Linked DNA regions of Mytilus edulis. The protein of the gene in region 1 purifies or fractionates together with the protein of each later gene. This does not show direct contact. Links are inferred from orthologs where the notes say so. Each region holds a gene or a part of one and is shown on either strand. Other genes may lie near its edges.

What was found. The genes of interacting proteins can lie anywhere in the genome.
Region 2: the proteins of succinate--CoA ligase [GDP-forming] subunit beta, mitochondrial-like (region 1) and succinate--CoA ligase [ADP/GDP-forming] subunit alpha, mitochondrial-like fractionate together in Homo sapiens (co-fractionation; 6 studies listed by BioGRID and IntAct, counting the BioPlex papers as one, with this or other methods). This does not show direct contact. The link is inferred for Mytilus edulis from reciprocal best matches to the Homo sapiens genes SUCLG2 and SUCLG1.

Annotation. Positions count from the first base shown.
Region 1 is NC_092344.1:74,496,178-74,507,032, reverse strand, and holds the start of succinate--CoA ligase [GDP-forming] subunit beta, mitochondrial-like, read right to left. Parts: upstream 4,751-10,855; 5' UTR 4,703-4,750; coding exon 4,634-4,702; intron 1-4,633. Other genes in the region: cyclin-D-binding Myb-like transcription factor 1, read left to right, coding at 6,894-7,236, 7,646-7,759, 8,252-8,304, 8,831-8,978, 9,363-9,439. UniProt on the Homo sapiens protein: GTP-specific succinyl-CoA synthetase functions in the citric acid cycle (TCA), coupling the hydrolysis of succinyl-CoA to the synthesis of GTP and thus represents the only step of substrate-level phosphorylation in the TCA.
Region 2 is NC_092347.1:96,972,154-96,982,377, reverse strand, and holds the start of succinate--CoA ligase [ADP/GDP-forming] subunit alpha, mitochondrial-like, read left to right. Parts: upstream 1-5,232; 5' UTR 5,233-5,328; coding exon 5,329-5,365; intron 5,366-6,638; coding exon 6,639-6,742; intron 6,743-7,532; coding exon 7,533-7,649; intron 7,650-10,224. UniProt on the Homo sapiens protein: Succinyl-CoA synthetase functions in the citric acid cycle (TCA), coupling the hydrolysis of succinyl-CoA to the synthesis of either ATP or GTP and thus represents the only step of substrate-level phosphorylation in the TCA.

The DNA of each region.
Region 1 (10,855 bases):
AATTACATGCATTACAAAACTTGATGTTTTGCCACAAACAATGAAAAAATAGTTGATATCTCAAGAACAAAAATGTGCTATTGCTCTCGTAAACAGTCGCTGAATAACCTGTGTACAGTCAGAGATATAACTCTATAGGGTTATTACAGAATATAACTTGTGTGTGTTATTGCAGATACTTTCATGAGTTGTCTACTTTTTATTCCTTAAATTTTCTAAATCTGTAATAACATATATATGTTTGTTATTTGTAAAATTATTTCATTTATAGTGGGCTCTAGGGAACTCTTGAGACTTTGAACAGAAACTAAATGCATAGCCTTGATAACTAATTTTTTAATTCAATTAATACATTTTTGATTAACCATGGTAAATCAATGAGACAAGGCTATTAAGGGATAAACTTAGCTGTGAAAACAAGGCTGCCTTAGTTATTATAGGAATGTAACTTAAAAAGTGTTAACACATTTTTAGGTTATTTCATTTAGACAAAAATATATTACAGTCATTCCTTATAATTTATTTCTATAAAATTCTATACTTTAGGAGTAAATCATGAAAAAACATTGATGATTTCACAGTCACATGACAAAATAGTCTATGAGCTAAAAGACAAAAAAAACTTTCAGCTGATCAGTAGAGGAGATATGATACATCAAAAATTCAATTTAAAACAATTAAGTTTATCATTAGTGTAATTAGATTTAAAATGATTAATTTAATCATTAGTGTAATAATATTATCACTTCTAGACTGAGCTAATAGAATTTTGATAGTGCAACTGCCTCTTGAATAACTCCTGTTTACACTTTAATATTGAATCACTGCAGCTGATTGTCTATATATATATATATACAATGTCCATAGCAATGAATGTGTTGTGTAGCGTTATTTACCCTTATCTGCGCATCTATTACATAGTTGTCGCAACAATCTATTTTTGTTAAATTGAAAATCAGAAATGTTGTTTTGTTCTAAAAATAGGGTACTGAAAGGGTCCCTCTTGATTGAAAGTTTCCGTTGCTTAAGGTACATGTGGTGATGAAAACATTTCAATATTTTCTGTCTTTATCAAATTAGCGTTAGCCATATCGTCATAATTATTTTCGTACTTCTCAGGATTTAACAAACCACTTAGCAATGAATTAAAACGAAAGTAAATTTCCAGGGTTAAAATTTTTTGTTACAGCTAATGCATGGCTTACTAGCCCAGGACTTATAAGCAGCTCAGTATTTTACTAGCCCTGATGTACATATCTAAGCCAAGGGATAGCAAAAATATTAGCCAATTAAACGAATTAGGGGAGGTATATATCAAGGACAGTGCAAGATAACGGTTAATTCAGGAAACAATGCTGACCAGAATGTTCTAGTTTAAACCTTTTCCATGTGTATCAGTGGTCTCGCTAGCCCAAAATAGAAGGGCGCCGCGCCCTGGGTGCCCTCAGCTGCACCCTGGGTGCCTTCATCCGCGCCCTTCTGCCCTGACGTCTTTTTCCAAAATTATCTTGTGCCGTTTTGGTAAAATTTTGTTTCATCGATTTCTGATCTCCAAGTTAATTACATATATGACACCTGTGTGATTGCCCCCAGGTTAATCATTTTATTACAATCAATTACAATGATAAAGACTTCAAAGGTGTTAATAACTAGGTAATTTAATTAGGACAATGTATCTTTTTGTCATACTTTTGATGAATGTGTCAGCGAGTGTGTTTAGCTTGGGTCGGCATTTTCGATCTCCAAGTCACAATGGAAGAGTGTATATAAATGAAGACTTTCATGACTTTAGAATTGAATTTAAGTCATCAAAATAAAACTATGCCTTTACAGAAATGCCTTCCATCTTAACTTGTTAGCGACAAGCACAGTTTTTAATTAACCCAAACGTGGTGGAAATTGATTTCGGAGTTACTTCCCCTGTTTTAGCTTATTACAAATTTGTGCTCTAAAAATATTATCTAGTACCAAAAAAGGGAATAAATTACCAATTGAATAATAATTTATAATAGCATAATCATGTTATCTTAAAGATATTAACTGTCTTTGAACATATTAAAAAATATATATTGCAATTTCTACTTGATAATTATACTTTTAGCAATCCATGTTCTAAACATTGTTAAATTAGTAATGCTCTCTGTTTCAGTTCATATGATGTTTTCAAAGCTATAATTCCTATATAGATAAAAAAAAACAACAAAAAAACAAAAAAAAACACATATTCTTTGATAATTGGTAGAGTGAAGTTGAACTGTAAAAACATAATATGTTGATGAAGATGTACCATATCAATCATAACTACACAAACAATGAAATAAAGACTATAGTTGAAAAGCATCTTTATTTAAAAAAAACAACATATACAATAAAAAAAACAAAGAGATTCGTTAACTCGTGATACACACAGAAACTTAGACAAAAAAATGAGCAGTGCCTTTTCTTATCATAAAAAGTGCCCTGCCCTCCACTGGCACCCTGCCCCTTTTGATTTCTAGCTAGAGCACTGTGTATCAGTGTTCTAGGATTCCCATTACCCGTTACCCGGGGTAAGTGGATTAGGACAACGGGTAAGTCATTTTTTAGCCTTTGTCACCCGGTGGTAAGTCAATTTTCAAGTTCGGGGAAGCCGAAAAACTCTTGAAATTTCCCGGTCCTCTTCAATTTTCCCATATCTGCTTTTTATTTTTATTAAATCACGAGAAAAAACTTTGATAAAAGATCGAAGATTTTGTCGATGTCTATCGGCGCTTTTATTCAAGCACTCGTTTACTAGGTGTAATCAAGCGCAAAAGAGACCACATTCTTCACCTATCATTCTAAAAGTCGGTCACGGTGTCGGTAAAATCGGAAAATCCGGATTGATAACTGGTGCTAAAATCGGGACATAAACGATTTTTTTTCTTGTCATCGGAGGAAAATAAACTTACAGTTGCATTTATTATAACTCTTAATAAATGACATAGTAATAACTATAACATATTTGTCAAATTTAGTAAGAAATCGTTTTTTTTTAAATTTTGTACAAAATTCAATCGTATCCGAATCCAGCTTTGTTCAGACAAACTTCACAACATATAATTTAAAGCATGTCATAAAAGTTTTTTGAGCGGCCCCCAGACCCCCGGCCATAAGGGCGGCGAGCTTTGCGCCGTCCGCATTGGTTGGCGGATTAAACTTTTAGATGTGGGTAAGTAATTTTTTTATTGATCTTACCCGTGGTAAGTCAAGGTGCCAAAAAAATCCTAGAACACTGTGTATGTTTACATTTTTAGGTATCGGGATCGTTCGCCCTGATTACATGTTCGCCCTAGGTTTGTTCGAACTGAGTTTGTTTGCCCTGATAGTCTGTTCGCCCTGGGTTCGTTTGCCCTATATTATGATATAAATATCTATATATGTTACATCAATGAACAATATATATATATATTAAAATTTATGTATATCTATTAAAAGTTAAATACAGAATATTTGCCAAATTTATATTAATTAAATAACATTCTTGGCTGCATTGTTACACTTTATTTTATAATTACTTTTAATTACTGTTGATTGAATTTTGATTGCTGATTAGGTGTCATTTGATACCTTTGATATCACTGATTGTTATATGAATTGTCTATAAAAAAATTAAAAAAAAGGATGGGTAAAAACACTGATGACAAGTGATCATGTACAGCAGTGTGACTGCGTTTTTGGTATTTGTTTCACTAATAGTAATTCTATTTAGTGCTTTTAAATATTCGTTTAGGAAATAAATGTGTGTGAAGTACAGTTCGGAATTGATCTTGTTATAACTGTTACTGAATATTTTTAAATTGTTAAAATGTATCAAGAAAGTTAAATATATGAATAACTTAGTCATGTTAGTCTTTAGTGTTTTATGTCAAATACTTTGTAGTCTTTGAATTCACAGAAACTTATCCTCGTAGCAGCAAGACAACAACTTTGTCTTCAGTTGTTTTACATTTAAAAATACAATGTAGTGCTGAAATTCACAGAAACTTATATTTCCTAGTAACGTAATTACATACAGATACAAACTTAGTCCTCAATACCTTGAAGTCACAATATCTTGTAGTCCTGAAATGTACTGAAACTTATAACTTAGTATAGCAGCTAGCTTTAGACAAGTTAATATGATACATCGTAAATATTCGGCGAAATTGTAGACTGACTTCAACACATTCAATTATATACACACAACGCAACACTATACTAAAAAATAAAATCAGGGCGAATGGACTCGGGGCAAACAGGTATTAGGGCGAACAGAAACTAGGGCGAACCAGAATCAGGGCGGACGGACCCGGATTCACATTTTTATAGTGACTGGTCACCTTATCGGCTTGTAGCCAATTACACGAATTAGGGGAGGTATATATCAAGGACATTGCGAGATTAATTCAGAAAACAATGCTGACCAGAATGTTCTAGTTTAAACCTTTTCCATGTGTATGTTTACATTATTATAGTGACTGGTCACCTTATCGGCTTGAAAGTCAAAACTTGGTAATGTTGATAGATGCTATAAAGTGTAATTTTGTTGAAGAACATAAGCAATCAGGCACCTGATATAATCAAATATATATATATTGTGTTGGAAAATAAATCAGATCTCATTGACATTTACTTTATTCCACAGTCTTTGCAATAAACCGTGTCTAACTGACGTTCTTATCATTTTCATGGGCGCAGCCATTTTTCTCGAAAAGAAACTCAAACTCTCGCGATACTTCGAACTTCTTTTGTACAAACAAAATAGTCCTATGATTATCAGCAACACGATTGTTATTGCCGTCAAAAAAATGAAAAAACATACAAATTCTGCTCATTAAAATTAGTAAGTTTTTGAATTGATGATACTATATCTTATTTATTATCGCTTAACAATAAGTCTAAATTCATCCGCAATACTTTCTTCTGTTCATCCTGGGACTTACAAGATTTTCATCCTGGCTCTTCTTTGATCACCCGTACGAAAACATTGTAAAATGTCAAAACCACGTGTTTATCAGCTGTAATATTGTGTGCTTTTACATTTTCAAGTTCTGATAAATGAAATGATTCCGTGGCTTACAAAATCTAAATAAATCAATATCAATATGTTGACAAAATTATAAAATCAAAACAAATCTGTTTATGAGTGCATAAAATCACTTTCAATCATAAATTTTTATAAACTCAACTGCATTGTTTAAATTATTAATTGGAACATTTGTTAACATGTATAAATAATAATTATCTGTAATATTTAAAAGCGCCATTGTAATAAAAGAGAGAGGCGAAAGATACCGAAGCGCCATTTAAACTCATAAGTCATTTTGTAAGTCACAAAAAATAAATACACCTTAATATCGCTTTTTGTCCCCCATTAACGGATATCAAACAGGTCCCCGTAAAATTTTGAAGTCATAAAACAAAATGTCTGACACCACAATGGACAAGTGATTGTTGTATGAGGTCAGAAGTTCAAGCAGCTGGGAATAGCGATATAGGGTGTATTGTCAACGCATGGCTAAAAAAGAAAAAAAAGACTGACAAACAATTAGTTCACAGAACACAACATAGTACTAAAGACTGAACAACATGATCGTCACAAAAAACTGGAGTTGATCTCATGTGCTCTGGATGGGTAATTAGCAGATCCACACATCTGTCTGTATATATTTCGTATGCAGGCACTGCTGGAATGTTGCTACATGTACATAGAAATTGAAAGTTCACAATTGGGAAGCTGAAATCATCCCTTTTGTCCTTAAGTTTTGTAAACAACCAAACCTGCCGTCAACAAAGCCAAATTTGTACTGTGTAGAACATATTAAAATAGATCCAGACATGATTCTCGCTACATTGAAGACCCATTGGTTGCCTTTGGCTGTTGTTTGCTCTATGGTCGGGTGGTTGTCGCTTTGACATATTCACCATTTCCTTTCTCAATTTTATGACAACATATTAAACAAATGAAAAAGAAAACCTACTATGGCAGATAATTGCAACAATCTTTATGAAATTGATATATTTGAATAATAATTAATTTGATTATATTTATCATATATTTTTCATACATTCCACAATTTAAAGCAACATAGACATGATAGAGGAGGAGGAAATGTCCTATTGACATTTTACTCCTATATGTACAAATGTAGATGGGTTTTTTGGCTTGAAAATTGTAACAACCTTAACAACTTTGGTTTTATATTCTTATGGTACAAAATACTTTATTTTAAAAGAAATCTAACATATTATATCATACCTAAAAATACTACTGTATTGTATCCTTATTCCTTAACCATGTTAACTAAAAAAAAATGCTAGTGCATTTTATCCATGATAGTAAAAATAGTAGAGTTATTTTTAAACTTGAGTGGAAAACACTAGACTAGTATAATTATTAATACATGTAATTTTCTCCAAATGAAAAATGCATGTCCTCCATTTTTATAGATTACCTTCAACATGCTCTATTATACATTTTGTATTTGTCTTTCTAGAATTGCTAGTAAATCAATAAGGGTAAAATTCGGGAGGATGATTTACACTAGGATATTTTAACCTGTGGAAAGCACCAGCTATTTGTTAATAAGTGACACTGTTTACTGTCACATATACTCTCAGTTACGGAAAGACACCATGTAAGGATCTTTTTGAATTCTAACCAAAATAGATGTACAATGTATTATGGAGAAGCAGGAGATTATAAATGTATTAATTTCATTATCTTAAAAAATGAATGAAAACACAAATCTTTACCAAATTCAAATTTCCATTGATTTTCATAATTGATTTCTATATATATATACACTGAATTTGAAAATCCAAGATAAAAAATATATTTAAGATATGGCATTATAGATAATTAATGAATCTTTATATTGCAGGTGTTTTTTATGGAGACAGCAAATCAGGAAACTTCAGAACCAGTTGTACAAGAAATATGTACAAACGGAACATCAGAAATACAATATAATGAACAACATGACCTAACACAGTCTACAACGTCTATAGAAGATGTTACAATCAATGCAAATTTACAAGGAGAGGCCATTGACAATGGTGATGAAGGGGAGACAATTCACAAGACTCATCTTTTGAAGATAGAGGTACCAGATGGGGAAGCAGATTTAGAACAAACAGATGTAGCTGTTGAGGAATGGAAGGACATAGAGAACATTGTTGACATGGATCCATCTTCAACAGCTGGGTTCCTTATTCTGTCAAAAGAAGCTGCTGGTAAGTGAAAATTACACTGAGGGGTCAGGGTGGTAGGCACGGTCTCAAAATATGATTTTGGGTACAGACAGATGTGAGACTGGTATTTTAAAATAAAAAAATCATAAATATGTACATTGCATTAAAATCTTGAGAATCTGAGATTTAAAACTAAGATGTCTCAGATTCTTAATTTGTAAATACCTGGTGAAAAAATACTGATCTTTGGTAGGAAAACTGACAATCCTAGTCAATAAAGCATGGAGTCAGGCACACAAAATTGCAATTCATTGTTTTGTTTTACATTTAATAAAAAAAATAATCTGTTCCACCCACACATCTTAGTATACAGTCAGATTAGAGGAGTCCCCCTATAATATCATTGCTTAAGTTTTGTTTAAAACATTATATGGTTCTTATATAATTTTAGCATCCCTTGGAATGGATTCTATTGAAAATACTCAAAATGGAGATGAACCTGCAGCCAAAAGATTTCGTATTGAAGGTGGTGATGGCCAGTCTTATGTGCTATCTGTGGCTCCAGGTAGATGTATATATGAATAGCCAAAAAGTGCCTAAAAATAGCAACACATGACATACAACACTATGAGAGTGTGGATTAATCAGTACAGAGACTAATTCAATTACAAAAATAAAATTATAGAGTGCCGAACAATCATTAACAATGTTATTTTAACACACGTAATAAATAATTTAGTATGTAAATATTAGAATGTTTAAAATATTTACAAAACATTAAAAATAGCTAAATATAGATATAGTTTGTTTTTTTTATAAATCTGAGTCAACTTTTCTCAGTGTTATGTTAAAATCATAACAAATAACTATACAAGTGCAGATTTTATACAGACAGTCATACATTTTTTCTACTATCTTTCTTACATTTGTGTTTTACAACATATGTACCTTCGAATTCTATAAGACAGCATCAAAACAACGCAAAATAACCAAAAACAGACATTTAAAAGAAGTACCATATATATATAGCATTTAAGACATTTCATTTCTGTTACAGAGGATACTTTGACAACTGATGAAACCATTGTAGAAAAAGTGGAAACAGTTCAGGTAAATTTAATGATGTATAAGGTGGAAAAAAATAATTTGATAGGCATACAAATTTAACATGGGAGAGAAGGAGAACAGTCTTTCTTTTCCCCCAGATTTCGATGCAAGTTAAAAAAAAAAAAAAAAATACCAAATTTTCAAGTTCTCAACTTTTCTTTGACTTTTTAACAAACTTCAGAAAGAGTAAAGAGGGTTGTTCATAGTGAAAATGTCCTGTGAACCATTTTTGTTTTATTATGCAAGGAACAGTTCACTAAACTATAATAAATGAACTTGCAATAATTTGAGATTTGAAATAACCTTTTTGTCTGTAAATGATTGAATTAGATAAGTTAAATTAATCATAAGATAAGTATCATAATTTTATCGTGTATCTGATTCACAGTATTTCAATATAATTTTTTAAAAATAAGTTTGTTTTATTTTCCGGAATCCATTTACTCCATGTACATGTATGCAGAACCATGTGTTTTCTACTAAAAAATTTTTTTTTATTTATTTCAATAGATACTCTTTTATGTTTAAGGCAACCAATGGATCAGTCTTATTGAGTGCAGGAGATGCTGGAGGCCCTAAACAGTCAGGTTCTGGGAACAGAAAAGCTTTAGAAAGCTCAGATATTTCTCAGGCTTGGTTCACAACTAGAGATGAAAAGGATGCTCTTCATAGCAAGGGTATACACATTAATGAAGCATATGAATAAAATAAGATTTGAGGGAGAACTTCATTGAAATAACAATTCAATAATGATAAAACACAAAAAAAGATATTTGACATAAGGATACAGTCTAAATGGTTTATGAAGTATCAATAATTATATTATCTTTTAACAATTTGGGACAAAAAAGATGTTATTTGAAAAATAGTCTAAATTTAAGTTTGAGGTGATCTTGAAACAGCTTCCCTTTGAGATGATCTTGAGTATTTCTGACTATTGGAAATGCAATATATAACAGATTGAAACTCTTATCAAAACACACTTTTAAAAGCAAAAATCATAGTTTTACTGAATAAGGTGCACTTTGATTTTATTGATTTTTTTTAATATGTCTTTAAAGGTGCAACATGGAAACAAGGACAGTGGACAAAGGAAGAAGTTGCTGTATTACAGCAGAATATTAACAGTTATTGTGCAGTAAATATTTATAAATACTATGTAGTTAAACTTTGACCTTTATTGGGGATGAATTTAGAGATAACTGTATTGTATTTGAAGCTTTAAGGACGTCCATCGGTAGTTTTACTGTCGCAAATTTAGTTTACATGGCAACACGTAGTAGAGACAGGTAAACAGGTATTTGCCACAGTAAAACTACCGATGGACGTCCGAAAAGCTTCAAATACAATACAGTTATCTCTATTCTAATGCAAAACAAGTTCATAATTAAATTCCAATAATTATTTCAGTGTAAAATCTTCATTAAAGAAAATTCCACGAAAAGATGTTATCTTCTTTGGTCCCTACATTAGGTGACGTCATAGGTATGCTTCCAGCGTCAAACATAAACACCAGGAGTTTCTGGCTTCTTTGCCGCTTCAGAATGTAATGAAATTTTATAAAAAGAAGATTTGTAGGTGCGACATGTTAGTTTTTTGGCTTTTTATTGTAGAAATTACATGTCAATACATTCAGCAATTCAAAATGTCGGCTACCTTAGTTACAGACAAGGAGATAGAGAATTTTACGCTAACTGTCATCCAATCAGAACCATTGATACAAAATAATTGCATTAGAATAGATAATAGCTGGATTTCAAAGTTTGAAGTTCTGGATTATTTTCTTGATATATTAGACAACATTTGTTTTACTGACACACATTTTATTTCAAATGTTGTAACTCACTGCAAGGCTTTCTAAAATGTATGTAACACTGTATTTCTTTGTTGAGCTCTGTCCGAAAACCAAAAATTAATCAACCAAATTCTATGAATTTTCACAATAACACTTTTAAAATTGTAACTTTCATATGATGTCATAAATACTTGTCTACCTGTTCTTAAAGGGAAACTTCGCAAAAAAATCAAAAATTGATATTATGTTCATTCTGTATAAAAATGTTCAAATTCATAGATATTAAAGTTTTATTCCGCTAGATAAGCGATCACCATCGATTTTAAATTTAGAGTATCAATTCTCCGAGATCCGCCATCTTGTCTTCTTTCCCGATGAATAAAAACGATATGTCTATAAACCACAAAGAAACAAAACTACAGTAACCGATGTAGTCGTAATTGCGTGTCGATATCTTGTCAATCGTACGGTTGTTTAATACGACTAACTAACTTGATACGGAAAATATTCTTACTTTTTTTAAATTACCATGGTCTGTTGTTTTTAAACTGTTGATATTGGAATTAGGTGAAAAGTCAAAGTTGAAATCATAAATAAGTGTTCCGTGAAAATTGTTTTCGAAAATCTAATTTGTTCATAATTCTTTAAAGTAATAAACTTTTTTCAAATATATTTTGATCTTCCCTTATCTGATCACCAACATGGCTAAAGGTATTACTTCCAAAGGTATTGTGAGGGGTGTGAGGTGACACGTCCAGG
Region 2 (10,224 bases), on another chromosome or scaffold:
GGCAATAGTTCAGTTCGAATTCGTTGTATCCGGGATACCATATCCCCCCTTTACACCCTCTACTGACAAACTCGTACGGGTCTAGGGTATAAGTGCTATGGGCCATTTTAAAGGCAATAAGTACCTCTTCCTCTGGTATCATTGCCCAAGTGGAGAATCTCTTCGTTTGGCCAGCCGGCAATAGTTCATTTTCGAATTTGTGATATACCAGAGTACCCCCTTATCCTTTTCTGACTAACTCGTACGGGTCTAGGGCATAAGTGCTATGGGCCATTTTAGAGGCAATACCAACCTCTACCTCTGGTATAATGGCCGATGTGGAGAATCTCTTAGTTTGGCCAGCCGGCAATAGTTCAGTTCGAATTCGTTGTATCCGGGATACCATATCCCCCCTTTGAACCCTCTACTGACAAACTCGTACGGGTCTAGGGTATAAGTGCTATGGGCCATTTTAAAGGCAATAAGTACCTCTTCCTCTGGTATCATTGCCCAAGTGGAGAATCTCTTCGTTTGGCCAGCCGGCAATAGTTCATTTTCGAATTTGTGATATACCAGGGTACCCCCTTATCCTTTTCTGACTAACTCGTACGGGTCTAGGGCATAAGTGCTATGGGCCATTTTAGAGGCAATACCAACCTCTACCTCTGGTATAATGGCCGATGTGGAGAATCTCTTAGTTTGGCCAGCCGGCAATAGTTCAGTTCGAATTCGTTGTATCCGGGATACCATATCCCCCCTTTGAACCCTCTACTGACAAACTCGTACGGGTCTAGGGTATAAGTGCAATACCAACCTCTACCTCTGGTATAATGGCCGATGTGGAGAATCTCTTAGTTTGGCCAGCCGGCAATAGTTCAGTTCGAATTCGTTGTATCCGGGATACCATATCCCCCCTTTACACCCTCTACTGACAAACTCGTACGGGTCTAGGGTATAAGTGCTATGGGCCATTTTAAAGGCAATAAGTACCTCTTCCTCTGGTATCATTGCCCAAGTGGAGAATCTCTTCGTTTGGCCAGCCGGCAATAGTTCATTTTCGAATTTGTGATATACCAGAGTACCCCCTTATCCTTTTCTGACTAACTCGTACGGGTCTAGGGCATAAGTGCTATGGGCCATTTTAGAGGCAATACCAACCTCTACCTCTGGTATAATGGCCGATGTGGAGAATCTCTTAGTTTGGCCAGCCGGCAATAGTTCAGTTCGAATTCGTTGTATCCGGGATACCATATCCCCCCTTTGAACCCTCTACTGACAAACTCGTACGGGTCTAGGGTATAAGTGCTATGGGCCATTTTAAAGGCAATAAGTACCTCTTCCTCTGGTATCATTGCCCAAGTGGAGAATCTCTTCGTTTGGCCAGCCGGCAATAGTTCATTTTCGAATTTGTGATATACCAGGGTACCCCCTTATCCTTTTCTGACTAACTCGTACGGGTCTAGGGCATAAGTGCTATGGGACATTTTAGAGGCAATTAAATGGACTGGTAATGTTGAGATTAAAGACTCTTATTGATCTCCGTAATTTTGAAGAATTATGTCATTGAAATAGTAATTGACAGTTTCTATTTTTCTGTTTATTATATTCCTTCAACAAACTATGTTTCTTGTTTTTCTGATCTTTTTAATTGTGTGATACTATCGTATGTATTGTATATTTTAGTTTTAGAATTGGACTATATTTGTAGACAACGAACAGATTATGGAATGCCCATATGACAATTAATTCCATTTAATTACCCTATATTTAATCATCTTGTTTTAATTACTATAGTTTACATTGATTCAATAATAACAACATTTTAATGTTCATAATTGTTTTGTGTTGTGTGAGGCAATGCAATTAAACTTTTCATTTACTTTCATTTTAAATGACGCGGACCTTGCAGAAGACACCTATTGGCTTACTATTTCCTAATTACTTTATATTGCTATAAATAGCATAACCATATTGGATATTAACAGCAAAAGTTATTTTATTGTCACAATCTAATAACTACCCAAAACATTTCATCGAACGCGGTTTTGATCTCATGAATATTATTGACGGCTAGCATCATGAATATTAACGCCGGCTAGATCCACACTAGTTCGCTAACACCGTAGTTTTGTGAATGTTCGTGTCATTATACCAGTCACTAATATTACATGATTCAAACTGCTGATAAAGTCTATAATTTGAATTTTTACATGCTTTATAACGCCTAAAACTTATGTTCCGCCCAGTTATGAATTCTTTTATTAAGTTGATCAGTGTTCATATACCTTAAACGATTCCAATGATTTATAACAGTTCGCCACTGCCTTACACAAGGTCACGGGTTTCCAGGCTGAATCTCCATTCACTGCTACATTAGGTGTATACCGTCCGACTCCCATATAAAAACGAATTGCCTTATTTTGTATCGAATTTATACATGAAAATGTTCTATCACCCCACACTGCCGCTCCGTAGCTGATTGTACTCCAAACAATCGAGTCATACAATTTTGTGAAAGAATCAAACGGTAGTCCTCCAAAGGATTTATATTAAGATATCACTAGTCCCAAGGCACGGTTGGCGGATGCTGCTACGTGTTTCGCCATAATTTGATAGTCCAAATGCTCCGTTAACACTAAACCTATGTATGTATATTTTTCCACCACATTTATGTCAAGGTCGCCACATTTAAAACTGTTTATTGTCCTTGGGGTCGAATTTGGTCGAAAATGAACAACGTTTGACTTTTTATTCTTATTCTCTGCACACCAGAGCTGAAGCCCATCTAGCAAAACTTGCAAGTCTGATTCCGAGCCAGCTAACAAAACAAGGTCGTCAGCGTAAAGTAGAATCGACACGTTTTCCTCGTCAATATTTATTCCAGCATTTAATGAACATATATACGTAACAAGACCGTTCACATACACATCAAAAAGTAATGGTGAGAGCAAACAACCTTGTTTTAGACCACATTGGACATTGAACCAGTCCGTTAATTGTCCATTTATCCGAACACAGCACTCTACTGACTTATATAACGACACGATAGCATTATACATATTCCCTCATATTCCAATATACAACTAATCGGCAAAAAGATATTGATGGATTAATTAATTTGAACCGACTGTAGATAGTTTAATTTTTGACTGATGTACACGCTCTAGTAACAATTGATGCAAGCTATACTTTATTGAAATTTTAAGTAAGCATTATATTCGTTATTATTTTTGCCAATTACCACGAATATAATGTCTACCCCTGTTAAAACTACAATAAAGTATAGTTTGCGTCAATTATTTCGATTCGGATTAGGACAATTACAGTAATTTCTATTTTCGATGTGTGCAAGTGTAGGGAGTTTGTGTAGGCTCTTGACTTCCATAGACAGTTTTCTTCTAAATAGTTAGTTCGATCCACAGTTTAGTTAAAATTGTGCAAAGTTGTAATTGTCAAATTTAAAATCAGTGTAAAAGAAGTTAACACATTTATTAACAATAACAATATTCGTGTCACAATATAACAGAAAAGTTATAATTTAACGTCTTCTTCTTTGGAGGTCATGATCAAGTTTTGAACAAGTTGAATGAAACGTTGCCGTATCTGGGCGTTTTTCAATAAAAAATGAATTTCAGACATAAAAAAATGGAAAATCAAATTGTCCAAAATTTTATTTCAAGAGTTATTTTGAATATCTCTATTATGGACATGTTTTTATATAAAAAATGCAATCTTAAATACTCTTTAAAATGATTTTATTTTCATAATTTATGTACTGTTTCCTAGGGGACATTTGTCCACTATAAAACTGCTTCTAAACGCACATCTTATTGCATTTTAATGTCTCTTATAGACATCCAGTTTGTTTTACTTTATATACTAGAACAATCTCCCTTTTTTCGGAATTGGAGAACCATTTTAATCGATAACTTATGAGATTAGACAGTACTTCACATATGAAGGTACAGCTCATGTTTTGTAGTGGACATTTTGATGAGTTTCGTAGTGGACAAAAAGTTTCGTAAATGACATCAACCCTATCCTATATTGATAAAAAATACTGAAAATTACATGAAACTAACTCTTGTTATTTGTTTTGCCGGCACAAATATAATTGAAAAAAGAGTAAAAAAACGACTGCATGGTAGTGGTAGTGTCCACTACGAAACGTTTTTCTCCCATACTTGTTTCGTAGGTGACCGTTTCGTAGTGGACATATTCACATGTTGTATCCCCCCCCCCCCCCCCCAAATCCCTATATTGCAATAGTAACAAGAATGAATCTATTCACCAAAGCACGTACTAAGCTGTACACTGATATTGTTTTCATAATTTTAAAACCAGATACTGAAGGAGATTTGACCCGTTTCGTAGTGGACATTAACTCAGTAAAATACGGTATCACTCTGGTCCATTTGATGTGCTCAATTTTTTTTGCCAACGATTTAACTGCCGTTTTAAAAGCATCACTTCTTTTGTAAGACCCTAATGTTTATATCTCTTGCAAACATTGATTTTATAGAACTTTTTATCATGTTTATTAGCAAAATTTAATGACTTCGTTTCGTAGTAGACATTTTGTCAGGGATACACCTTCTAAAAATCCATTGTTAAAAGTTCTTTTTATTAAAATATGTTGGCTATACACATACTTTTGAATAATTAAAGAACTTCTATTAAAAGTAAAAAATAAAATTCATTTCTACCTTTTTTACAATATTTTAGAGTGTGAATGTTGAACATATTGAACAGGGGGTCTAGGGACATGCCATTTTGGTTATTTAGAACCATTCAGGAATAAATATCTTATTAATCCCTTTAAAAATAGTATGTTTCTTTGCTTAAAATTGTCAAATCTCATAATATTAATTGAATTACTGGAATGGACTGACTGCACAAAAAAAATACTTCTTTTAAAGAACAACTGACACATTCTTTTAAAAGTGGCTGGGACAAGAATTTACGTTTTTATTGAAAAACGCCCATTTAGGTCAAATATGTCAATTGCGAATCATTGTATGTGTATTAGTTACAACATGTGCATCATTTAAAAGTTTAAAAGTAAAATCATTTTTCCGGGTATTCAATTTCCAATATACGCATGTGTAAACACATTTTATTGGATTTCGAGCATGGGTTGGTATACAAAGCACGTCATATTAGAATACTGCTTTTATTATGTGGAATTATACACGAAAAAAAAATCAGTCAGATAAAAGCCAGTCCCTACTATCCACTTGCGTTTGTAGGCGGGGCTGGCAGAAGGCTGAATAGAATCCGAAATCAGAACATCACTAATCCGGTGTAGAGAAAATTTTATTTAGCTTTACTAGCTTCCGGTTTTTCACGATGTCGACTGCCAGAAAAGTCCTTGGCAAAGTTTCTGGTAAATAACATAATTAATCTCCTCCTGTTCATGTTTCATCTTATAAAAAATCTTTTCTTAAACATGTGTTGTGAAATCAATACGAAAACTGGCATTGTGTTTGACCATGCTGGAGTTAAACATCACAGACACTTGTGAAAATCATAGAAATCAAATAATTTTTCTGTTCAAACTTGAAAGGGTGGGTTAAAAACCTCATAAGTGATATTATACACAGAATCGTGTAATATAAGGCAAATGCTACCTGCGAAAAAAGAAGAACTCCACATATATAAGTAGCTATTCAGTATTGAAAAAGAATTATACATTATAGATTTTTTTCCTAAACTGAATTATTTGTTTTATTTAGAAGGTCATGGCTTATTTTTACATAGATAAGATTAGTAAATCATTTTTTTTGGTATAATATACATGTTTTGAAATAAAAAAAAAAAGGATTCTTCATTAGCTTCATAAATGAGGACAAATAGGTAAACCATAGCTTGGGTGTCTCTCGTAAAATCTGCACATGCAAAAGGAATAAACTGAAAAAATGAGTTGCTGATGCACATTGACATTATGTGGTGTTTATTGTTGTAATTACTAATTATGAACAGATTTTTTTAATTTTTATTTCCCAAATTTCAGCATGTTCAGGGCAAAAAACAAACAAACCCAGAACCCTTCTCTGGATATGCCACTGGTGAAGAGACTGCCAATTTGATCATTGGTTGTTAGAAATCCTAAAAAAAAAATCAAGAACGTTTTCCACAACAAATTCAATGATAATAGAAATCATTAATTGAATATTTACTGATATTTAAAGAAATTTTTAATGTGACCAAGACTTTATAAGAATTTTGTTGAAGAAATACAATAAAGAATCATTGAATGTAACAAGAAAAGGCACTGTTGTTAATTAAGTGATAAATGCATTAATGTCGATTTTCATTTTAATTTTATTTGCAATATATTATAGTAGAACATGTACAGTATTAAACTTTAGTAATATTCCATAATTCTGTTGGTGTTAAACTGTTTTATATTTTTTTTTAGAAATTTGATCCTTTCTACTTTTTTCATGTCAACTAGAATATTTTAAAATTTCCGTCTGGCTAATTTGGTGTTTGTCTGACATTTTGTCAGTAAGACAAAGTTTCCCATTGGGATACATGTAAACTGGTTGAAGATGTACAAAATGTATATTCTAACTAAAGGTGTATATTCTAACTATCAACTATCTAGGTAATTCCACAGAAGATGGCAGTTTGATTTATATTTTATCTTTATACAGCTATTGGCAGAGTAGGAATCAGACACTGTTACACCAACTCACGACCTAACCTGCTGGTCAACAAAAATACAAAAGTCATATGCCAAGGATTTACAGGCAAACAGGTAAAACTATCTACAATTTGTATTTTATCAAAAAACTGAGTTTGATGAATTACAATTAGATTTTGTTTTCTGTTTTCTGAGATCCACAAAGATATGAAGAAGGAAAAAGGGATATATATTTATATAAGTTGAAATGCAATTGAATTTCCCTCTTGAACGTTCAACAGGTTCTCATATTATTTTGAGGAATACCAATGAAACTTCACACAGTAGCTATAGGTACACAATAGCAGATGAAGAGAGAATACATATGATTATTATACAGCATGTACATGTATATATAGTAAAATAGATGCTCTGCGCTTCAGATTTTATAAATTTGAAAGCCAATCCATTCAATTATATCTTTTTTTCACTTACTAGTACAATGTAAAAGATATGCATCCTATGACCTTTAATAGTAAGATTAAAGACAAGAAATATAAGATATTGTAACATTCAGAAATTGTTGCAATGTTTTTATCATTTGCGAAAAATGCAATAGGGTTATTAAACATGTTAAACTCCCATTTTGAAATTTTTTATATAAATTAAACAGGATTTTTCTCAATACAATGTATTGCAAAAATTAAAATTGCATTTTAGTCCAAAATGACAAAATTGCAATTATAAACTGATAAATGCACGCAATAATTTTAGAATTTACAGTATCAAAAAAGTATAGAAAAGTTGATATGAAATGACCAGTCATGTACATTTTTTTCAACTTTTAGTGTGTGGTTAACAAAAGGGCTTTAATACAGCTTAAAATGTGATTAAAAATTGCTGAAAATGTTGTTTTATATTAAAGGGAACATTTCACAGTCAGCAAGCTATTGAATATGGCACTAAAATGGTTGGAGGTGTGTCTCCAGGAAAAGGAGGACAGAAACATCTTGGACTTCCTGTGTTCAACTCTGTTCAAGAGGTAAGTATCAGGGCATGAAGATTATTTTGGCAGGCCACTTACCCCAGGAAAAGTGATAAAAAAAATCAATTTCCTGTTTGCAATTCCACTATCTCCTGTTGAGACAAGCAAAGTGGGAGTTTTGGGCCCCGGAAGAAAATTTTGAAATTTAGGATGCAAAATCCTGCAATCTGTGCATACTTTTTAGGGGTTTAACATATTTTGAAATTTAAACAAGTAATAGGGACAAATTATTTTATTTATTTACCAGAAAAGGACTTTCCCAACGGGATATTACAAAAAATGTATTAACTGGAATGTCAGTTCCCATGTAATAATTTACTTTCCCTGAGAAACAGGAAATGGTAATCTTTATGCCCTGAAGTATGTATGTGCTTTAGTTATTAAAAATATTGTCAGCTGAAATGTAAAACTAGGGAAGTCAAAGTGGAAGTCAAAGTGACCAACAACAAAAAAGTCATTCTTTTACAGATTACAGGTAAAACAATGGTGTTACTATTGTCATAAATATATGTAACCAATCAAAAGTAGGAAAGTTGTCATTATACTATTGCATGTTGCATTTATGATTATAGGCTTATATATATATCTTGTATCTGCAATATTCAGAGGTCATGTTGATGGTTGATAAGCGACATCCTGTCCCAAAATGTTAATACTTTTAATTTGAAACGATTCTTTATAAGAACTAAAAGATGAGGTTTGATTAACAATGAGACAACTTTCCAACAGAGACCTAATGGTGTAGATCTATGTAAACAACAATAGGTCACCAATCTGACCATATAAACATCAACTCTGACCATATAAACATCAACAATAGGTCACCAATCTCACCATATAAACATCAACAATAGGTCACCAATCTCACCATATAAACATCAACAATAATCAGCCCCATACCATATATATAATAGTAAGCAATATAGGCCCCACATGAAATAATGTAAAATATGTGATCTTTGAAAACTTTGTGATTCAGGTATTTGTTTTAGTATTTAAGTCAAATTTCAGAGTTTAATTAAATCTATTCACTGGACATGAATAGACTTCTGAATTATAATGCTATATAAATAATATACATGATTAAAAATTATAATAACTATTGAGAAATTTGGGGCATCCATACCTGGATTTCCTTTAGAATGAAATTCAAAACAGTGTGGCTGTGGCCATTGATTGACACATTAAATTCATCCATTGACTGGGACAATTTAGGTGAAGGTTTGTATGTAACGACCACTGCTCACTATGTACTTTTTAAAGACACTTAAACTATGGGGCCACCAAAGGTTCTCAACACCTCAATGAAGTAATTCGGGTGATTTATAACAATTATATAAATCAAAACATAAAGGTTATTCCTGATTATTTTTTCGAATTATTTTATAATTAAAGGCGTTAAGAAACCTTTGGTAACCCCACAGTTTAAATGTCTATCGTAGGTACGTCGTGAACAGTGGTCGTTAAAGACAAACGTTCACGTAAATTGTTCCAGTCAATGGATGAATTTAATGTGTCAATAAATGGCCACAGCCACACTGTTTTGAATTTCATTATATTAGAAATGCTCTAGACAAATGATTAAGTATGATCCCCTTGTTTGATTTAAGATCGAAAAACAACATTAAAAGGAAGTTTTAGGATCTCCTTGGTTCCTGCAAGATTTTTTGCATAAATATTTATTTAATACTTCTTTCTATATCTTCTGCATTGAATTTGTATAATAAGAGAAAAACAAACAGTGACTTTTATTGATTTTCTCTTGTCCTCATTAACAGACTGTTTTTGTTTTTCTTGATTTCTAGAAGCTATACAAATAACAAAGAACACTGACCCTTAAACTGTAATGATTCAATAAATATTATACATTAATCATCCTTGGTTGATAGAATAATAAAATAATGAAGATAGGACATTTTGTTTGAAAAAAATACCAGTAATAACTAGTTATAACTTGTTTAAAAAAACAATTAATTATTATGCTTCTTAACCCTGATTAACTTTGACAAGATAATGAATGTCTTTGGAAATGAAGTGTTAAGGAAACTATTGTTTGTTTTTAATCTTAATGAAGACATTGTTTTGCAGTGGAAAATAATATAGACTATCAAATTGGCGTAAAAGAACTGAGCAAACTGAATTAGTGACATGCTTAAACTATTTACCATGACATATTTAGATAGTTTTGGATGAATTTAAATGATAATTTACTATTTGTCTTATATATATACAATGTATGTATTAAAAAAAATGACTTATATCACATTTATACCACATTTTAGCATCGTTTGTTTACATTTCCTTGTTGTGATGATTTTCTGTTTCACAAGCGTGTATTTTCCCATAAAATGCTTATATTCTTCCGTCATCGTTCTATGACGTCAGAATATCATTCATAAAAAAGCATATGACGTGGGAGTACGATCAGAACAGCCCTGACAAAATATTCATATTTTACCACGGGTGTGTACTCAAAGCATTTGAAGGACGTCATGTTAGAACTTGAAATATGTTAGGTTTAAAGTGCTTAGATAGTTCACTTCCAGCTTTTTTATGCCCCAACTACGATAGT